Linked DNA regions of Schizosaccharomyces pombe. The gene in region 2 interacts genetically with the main gene of each other region. Each region holds a gene or a part of one and is shown on either strand. Other genes may lie near its edges. The genes, in order: opy1 and SPOM_SPCC162.03.

Region 1 (4,260 bases), 640 kb from region 2:
ATCCATGAATCATTTAATTAAGAAATATTATCTAGAAGCTCGCCTTTCTTTAACTGTTCATGACGAGGTTCGTTATTTATCATCAGATAAAGATAAATATCGGGTTGCATTTGCCTTACAGGTGGCTAACTTGTGGACTCGTGCGTTTTTTTGTCAACGACTTGGCATCAACGAGCTTCCACAATCTGTCGCATTTTTTTCTTCCGTTGATATTGACCATGTACTAAGAAAAGATGTTAAGATGGACTGTGTAACACCCTCTAACAAAGTCCCCATACCTCCTGGAGAAGAGCTTACTATAGAGTCAGTTCTAGAAAAACTCGAGCAGTCCGGTCAATCACTTGAGCCACTTGAGCAAATTCAGTGTTTTGTGGATGTTAAAGCTACTACTTCAGCAGAGATTACAGAAGAAGACAAAAAAAACATTGCATATTTAAAAGCACAAGCATTTTACTGATCAGCAAAAGAATAATTTATTTTAGTTAAAAAATGTGTTTTTCGGTTAGGATAATTTTAGGGATAGTTATGACATTGAAAATAATTTTCATCAAAAGGTTTGTTTAGTGGAGCGAACGATGGTACTACAAACTGGCTCATGACGAAGGAAAAAAATCATTAAATTAGAGCAAGAAAGACACTTTTGTAACTAGCTGTGTCGATTTTCGGACATTATCGGAAATATTATTAGACAAAAAAAAAACAACGAGATAGTCAAAACATATAGAAACAGAACGGATCAACACGTATGTACACGAAGGGTAAGGGGAGTCTTATGAAAGGAAATCACAAGAAGGTAGCTAGAAAAGTAGCTGAGGAATCGTATTATGCACCAAATATTTTGATGGAAAAGCCATTTTTAACAAGCAGTAAAAGTACCATTGGCCTTGTCAATAGAAGTCTTAAGTGCAGCAACCCAGAGTATAAGTGAATCTTCGTTATCAACGCGAAATTCGATAGGTTTGTTTTGCGTAATTACGGTAAAAAAGTATTTGTGTGAGCTTTCCGGAACGTTTATTTCAGCAACATCCTGAATGTCGGCTATCGGTATCACTTTAACAGGTTTGTACTCTCGGTTCGTGTTGTAAATAGTCATACCATATCCACGAACAACAGCCCAACACTTGGACCACCTATGTAAATTTCCATGTAGCCAGTGAATGGTTCCTTGCATAAGAACTTTATTTTCATCCAAGAGTTTATAGAGATTTTGTAAGGAAGCCGAATGCCTGTGCTTATTCAGCGTATTAACTTCTTGTGGGTTGAAGGGGTAATTTGCATTTTCTTCATTGATACCTGGTGGTCTCAACTTTCCAAACTGTATCAAATCATAAAGTGAAGTACAGAAATGGTCACCCTGACCAGTTTCCAAGTCTAAAGGAGAAGTCGTTTGATTACGAGGTTCAGTCGAAATATTGTCGAAGTCAGTATCAGAGATCTGAACGTTAGGCTCGCTTTCGGTTCGAGATGAAGAGTTCGCAAGGATATAACTGATAGGATGTCTTGAAAACGGTGCCCTATAACCCGTTGTGGATCTTAGAACATGAACCCATTCCTCAGCATCCTCATTTGAAGTGGCAATGAGACGAATTATCTTTTCATTTAAATACAGGAAAAAAGCTAAACATTAGATATAAACATCAAAAATTCTAACGTACTTTTTGGTGATTTTTCTTTGTAGTAGGCAACAGCTGAAATATCCTGAGTAGGGAAAATAAATTTGGTTTTGTACTCCTTGAAGACTGTTAGCGCGTCGTTGAAATTTGCACATTTTATTCACAAACCTTTTCGTCTTTGTAAAAAGATAACTGATCTCTGCGAAGAACAGCCCATAATTGCTTTTTAGTCTAGGTTGTTAGCATCCACTACAAAAAAAACCATGAGTGCAAATATTGACTCTGAAACGGGAAGCAAATAATTGGAATATTCTGAAAATCAATTGGTCAAAGTGCTTGTAGGGTGCTGTTTGCATCATCATATCCCCAAATCAAAAGCGAACAATAAAGAATTAAGAGTACGTATCATTCACTTCTAAGTACACTTCACAAAATTAAAGAATACTCCAAATCCCTTTCCACTCAAACGTATCGTAAATATTACTCAGACAACTAAGTTAATGAATACATACAGAAGTTGCATGTCCTTTCTTTATCAACCATCCGGATTTTAAAACACGCTCAAGCTCTGGAAGCCTTCTTGCTTCATCAAGGCTAGCAGTTCTGAGATGCGATGAAACTCCTGGGTCCATTTCATCAAGCGAATAGTCAAACTAATAAACGCCTTCTTTCTTTTGAATACATCAAGAAAATTCCTTAAACTGAAAGGTGTTAAACTAGAACGATGTAAAGTCGTCCTCTATACAGATTTTGGTTAAAATCACGTTTCCTAACGCATACGTGTTAGTGGTACCAGCGACGTACATATTCAGTAATAGCGTTCATTAACGTATCGCTATTTGTCAAGTGAAATTAAAATGTATGGTAGAGAAATTTCAATAATAGAAATGATAGTACGAATAAATTGTAGCAGTAGAATTGAGAAGCCTTCTTTTTGAAAAAGGTAGTCTGAAAATATGTCATCTTTATTTTGAGAGGCATACAACCATATAGTACATGGACACAGTAATCGTGTAGAAGTGCTACATCTCGTATACTAATTAAGAATCAAAAGAACTTTTGTAAATCCTACTGTTACAGAAATTCAACTTTAGGTTGTATTGGTGCACAGTGGTAAGGGATTGTTGTAAGGACTGGCAGGATGAAAACAAAAAAGCTATTTAAAGGGAGCACTTGTTCGCTGTAACAAAAAGAAAAGCAACAAGAAAGAAATACTTTTTTAAATATTTTTTAGAGAACCACTTTCTCTAATGTAGAAAGCGTTGGTCTTTCCCATTCGGTTCGAGACCTATGAAAGCTACTCAGTAGATACTGAGTTAGTAGGGAGTAGGGTTTAAACGTGATTTTAGCATGGTTTCTTGGAATAATAATAAAAATTCCCTTCCGTCCTCTATGCCATCTTCTTTATGCTTCACTTTACGTCCAGATAGTTGATAGTTTCCGGTCTTGTAAGATGATTATTGATATGGTAAATCAATCACAATCGAATGAAAGATAAAAGAATAAGAGTATGTAACCCTTTAAGATGGGAAATATATCAAGCAAGAATGGGGTTAAAAAAAAAACAATTTTAAAGTCATTAAATCCTTTTTAATACCATTAAATAGTACTAATTTTGCTCGTGAGTAACTAAGGTCGGGTAGCATAGTTGGTTATTGCGCACGACTGTTAATCGTGAGGTCGAGGGTTCGAGTCCCTCCCTGACCGGATTTTTTATGCTTCAAATCAACTGCAGCAAAAACATACGCTCAATCAATTTAATAGAAATTTGCAAACACCCAAGAACATGTTTAACTCAGTCAGTTTACTGCGAAGCTCACATCCAAAAAGCAGGTTTGATGGCGTTTTCCTTTCTACTTCATATGTTAGCTTAGCAACCAAAAATGCTTTATTGAGCCCGTTATGCTGTGAATTTCCAAGCTTTCGAATAAAATTGTTGCATTCGTGTTAAACAATAAAAAATATTTTCCCTACTATTACTGAAATAAAATGCCTTGAGTATCGGAAATCTTTTCAAAATTCAGGATACAAAAAAGATGCCAAATTTTTTTATATTAAATCAAAAAAAGTAAAAGACGTTGAAGTCTTTATTGTAATACCTCTATTAAATGATGGTATAAACTGAGGAAACCTATCAAATATACAGAACAAAAAAAATTATATCCATAGTAATAGTGGTCAAAAATTAGGTATACAAACAAGATTAATGGTGGAACAAACGCAAGGGGATCTCGGAAAAGACCATGTTGAACTCATTAGCAGTGTCGCGAACAGCTTGATCCATGACACTACCGCCAGGTGCAGCAACATATTTGACACCGCTTTGGGCAAGACGATAGATGTTGTCAGGGAAGGGGAAGAAGGCATCACTGGCACAGACAACATCCTTGCAAGTAGCCAAAAATTCCTCCCGCTCCTTTTTAGTAAGAGGCTCGGGAATAGTCTCGAATGCAGACTCCCATTGCTCACGTTCACTACCTTCAGCAGGAACGGCATCAAGGACGTACAAGTCAATAGCGTTAGATTTCTCAGGACGCTTAGCAGACTTCTTAAATTGCATACCCAAGACTTTAGGGTGATGACGAAGCCACCAGTTATCAGCCTTATCACCGGCCAAACGGTTGCAATGAATGCGGGATTGTTGACC
Region 2 (3,881 bases):
AGCATCATCGCCTACATAAGGCTCCGATTGTACATCGGTCACAACACAAACAAAGCCCTCGCAACCAATTTTTTCAGGAACAGCTTCGTTATCCTCAGTGACTAACATTAGTTTTTTAACGGTTTTACCAGGGAAATAGACAAGCTCTTTGTTATGCAGTGTGTCTTTCCCATTGTAAGCCAAAAATGAAACCAATCCCGACTCAGTAGTACCATACTGTGGATAAATGGTCGCATTTGGTAATACTCGTTTGCATGTATGATACATGTTTGCAGGGACCATTTCACCGCCTGCTGCTACTAGTTTACAAGCAGGAAAGCATTCTTCCTTGTCAGGCATTATTTGGAGAGTTAGAACAAGGAGATTGGGTAAAATAATTAAACGTTCGCATCCAGCACGAAGAGCATAGTAAACATTCCAAGCAAGCCGTTCAGCCTCTGAAGTGCAAGTAGCCGATATCGAAGAGGATGGGTACAGTAAGTTCCCATTACAATACAAGGCATTAATCCAACTCAAGGTTGTTAAAGCAAAGCTGGTAGCCATTACCATTGGAGTGGAGAGATGATTCATAAATTCAGGAGTTCCATAGTCATAACCCAAAGCATATTTCTTCATGAGAAATGGCATGGATTTAGGGACTCCTGTGGACCCACTAGAATGGTTAATAAGAGCGACTTCCGGCTCTAATCCAGCTCGAATACAAGGAGCATCGATATCCAGCGGCAGCGAAGCCAAGGATGTAGCATTTAAGGTGTCCACCTCAAACTTGGGCTTATATTCATGATAAAGCAAATCAGAAATATTCAAACGTTTAACAAGTACACGAACAACTTGCTGGGACCAAATTTGGTTAAAAATAACGCAGGTTCGTCCAGTAGCCCATAAAGCAAATATAGAACACAGAAAATCCAACTCGTGTCCCATATGTATTCCAACTGTCTTTCCCAAGCCTAAATCATCACAAAATTTAGCAATTGTGTTAACACGACGAAGTAATTCTGTATATGTATATTTAGCAACAATTCCACGTTCATTGTACACGGAGATAAACCGATGATCTGGTGTTTCTTTTGCGTTTTTCAAAAGGCGAGCGATTGGTGTATCTTCTTCTTTAGATATGGATGAAAACGAAACTGATTCTGACGAATCGCACAGCATTTTTTTTTAAATATTTTCAATACCAGTATCAACTAAAGAAGCAACCTTGAAATGACAAACAGCAAATTTCGTAAAGTTAAAAAGTTAACACTTCTTGTTTCAAATCGGTCTTCTATGCTAACGATACATTAATCTCACTGCATGTAAAAAAACCAGGATCCGGCTATAGGAATCCGACTCCATTGCCCTCAATAAGAGTATACAGTATCCGGAAGAACATATTGTATTCTTACAACTTTAAGAGTTAACTAACTTAATTCACAAATTGTTCAGGACATTGAGACAGCGGTATGGTGGTGAGTTTTGAGACGTAGCGCAAGCACTACATTACTGAGCCTATCTATATCCCTTTATAGGATTCTTTTATACGATGAGCTACGGATAGTAGAAACGAAAAGTGTTTACAGACATCCGAACACCAACAACATCATCATACTTTCACTTCGAGAAATGAAGACTTAGGAAAAGCAATATCCAGCAAGTGGATTAGAGAGTTAAGTTAAGCAATTCATTGTTAAGAAGCTCAAAAGAATCAGGGTTTGTCTGTTACGCGACGATTGTGAACTACTCGAATACCATTTGAAAAGGCTTACTACAACAGTAATCGGGTAAAAACGGGCTTGGTTGAGAAAGCAAAAAAATTGTTTAATTGTACAATCGTGGTGTCTCAAAAGACGAAACACGATCATAAGAAACAATGAAATCTACGTTTTCTACTGTACTCATTACTGGGTCATCCAAAGGATTGGGCTATGCATTGGTGAAAGTTGGATTGGCCCAAGGTTATAATGTAATAGCTTGTTCTCGTGCTCCCGACACAATAACCATCGAGCATTCAAAATTATTAAAGCTCAAATTAGATGTTACAGATGTGAAGTCTGTTGAAACCGCTTTCAAAGATGCAAAGAGGCGATTTGGAAACGTAGACATAGTGATCAACAATGCAGGGTATGGCCTTGTTGGCGAATTTGAATCATACAACATTGAGGAAATGCATCGTCAAATGAATGTAAATTTTTGGGGAGTTGCATACATTACCAAAGAAGCGTTGAATCTCATGCGCGAATCCGGTAAAGGAGGGCGTATTTTACAAATTTCGTCAGTCGCAGGTTATTACCCATCTCCGTGTTTAAGCATGTATAATGCTAGCAAATTTGCTGTCGAAGGGCTTTCGCAAACAATTATGAGAGAGTTAGATCCGAATTGGAACATTGCGATAACTATTGTACAGCCAGGTGGCATGCAAACAGAATGGGCTTCCTCTAATATGCAATGGGCAAAACCTCATCCAGCCTACGAAAATGACAGGTCTTGGCGACCATTTTGGGAAAACTATCATGGCTGCGAGGAAACTGACCCGAACAAAGCTGCGGAGTTGTTATATAGCATTGCCAAACTCGACAGGCCGCCTCAAAAGCTTGTCCTAGGCCACGATTCCTTGGAATTAATCCGCAAGCAACATCAAGACATAGGGGAAGAGCTTGAAAGTAATGTTGCACTTAGTACAAGTGTTGCAAAGGATGATTTTGATCCAGCTTCGGTAGAAACTTTGCGTCAAAATCTTCAATCTATGTGATGAAGGCATACAAGAATTTTTTTTGATCTCGTTGAATAGAATTAAATGAAGAGTTGAATGTATATGAGGATCGCAAAACGATCATTTCCTTATTTACACATTCATATGAGAAAATGCAGTCAAACAATTTCTAAAACTACAATGCATTGGTTCAAATATTAATGAACTTGTCTGCATTTATTTTCTTTGCACAAATTTTTCACTTTCATACTTCGTAAAAAAAAATGTGTATTTCACTGATTAAGAAACGTTCCAAATTACCAATTAATGCTATTCATTTGAATATAACACCACTTCTGTTGCTTCTTCATAAATTCTGAATAACAAACATCAGTGTCTATACTGTTTAGTAAGGCTACGGACAAAAATTTGTGCCTCTAATGATCTAGCGTCAGAACATTAGAATTGTCACAAATTTTAAAAATTAAGATCAAAGTAAAGTACATGAATCTCCATTGTATTGTATTAGAATCCGTGTTTATAATTATGCTCCGTAACATAACATATACTAATCTTACCTACTTCTAGCTTCGTCTTTTCATTGTTTATCAAATAGTGAGCTGCGAAATAATGTGGATTGTGTCAGCAATACTACACTACGCTATAATACACTACGTTGCGTATCACTATATGTCACATGTATATATAGTACCATGTATGATACGATATTGAGATTGATCTTAATGATAATCTATCAAGATCTATATTATCTGAATAATATAAATAGAGCTACTGCTGAACCTCGTTCCTCAGTTCAGTTATGAGCTATATTAGTGATAGGTAACATTATAACCTAATTAATACAATACCTATACTCAGTTGCTACTCATATAACCTGTGTAATGTAATATAATAGGTCACAAGGAAAACTCACCGCAGTTCTACGTATCCTTAAATCAGATACCAAACTGCGTAGCTAACATGAAGGAATCTCAAGCTAACTTAATAAAAAGGCAGTGACAGAATAAATGTGTCAGAAGCAATCCACTGCCTCGTTCAGTTTTTTCGTTCTTCTTTTTTTATGCCATTGTTTGAAGGAATTAGTTGGAAATTTGTTTGAACAATTTTATTATTTTGTTAAAAAGTCTTTAAAGCGATTGGAATTGGACTACAGAGCGAATATTCTTGATTTCGCTGTTTCGTTTGT

Evidence for each region.
Region 1: mutations in SPOM_SPCC162.03 (region 2) and opy1 together harm fitness more than expected from each alone (negative genetic interaction), as found in Schizosaccharomyces pombe (one large-scale study listed by BioGRID).

What each region holds. Positions count from the first base shown.
Region 1 is NC_003421.2:944,016-948,275, forward strand, and holds opy1 (protein opy1), read right to left. Parts: upstream 2,370-4,260; 5' UTR 2,246-2,369; coding exon 2,126-2,245; exon of another isoform or gene 1,845-2,125; coding exon 1,782-1,844; exon of another isoform or gene 1,732-1,781; coding exon 1,656-1,731; exon of another isoform or gene 1,618-1,655; coding exon 857-1,617; 3' UTR 501-856; downstream 1-500. Other genes in the region: pog1 (DNA polymerase), read left to right, coding at 1-457; ade10 (bifunctional IMP cyclohydrolase/phosphoribosylaminoimidazolecarboxamideformyltransferase), read right to left, coding at 3,817-4,260. UniProt on the Schizosaccharomyces pombe protein: Binds phosphatidylinositol 4,5-bisphosphate (PtdIns(4,5)P2/PIP2) at the cell membrane.
Region 2 is NC_003421.2:1,581,757-1,585,637, reverse strand, and holds SPOM_SPCC162.03 (dehydrogenase), read left to right. Parts: upstream 1-1,618; 5' UTR 1,619-1,855; coding exon 1,856-2,734; 3' UTR 2,735-3,054; downstream 3,055-3,881. Other genes in the region: SPOM_SPCC162.02C (AMP-binding dehydrogenase), read right to left, coding at 1-1,158.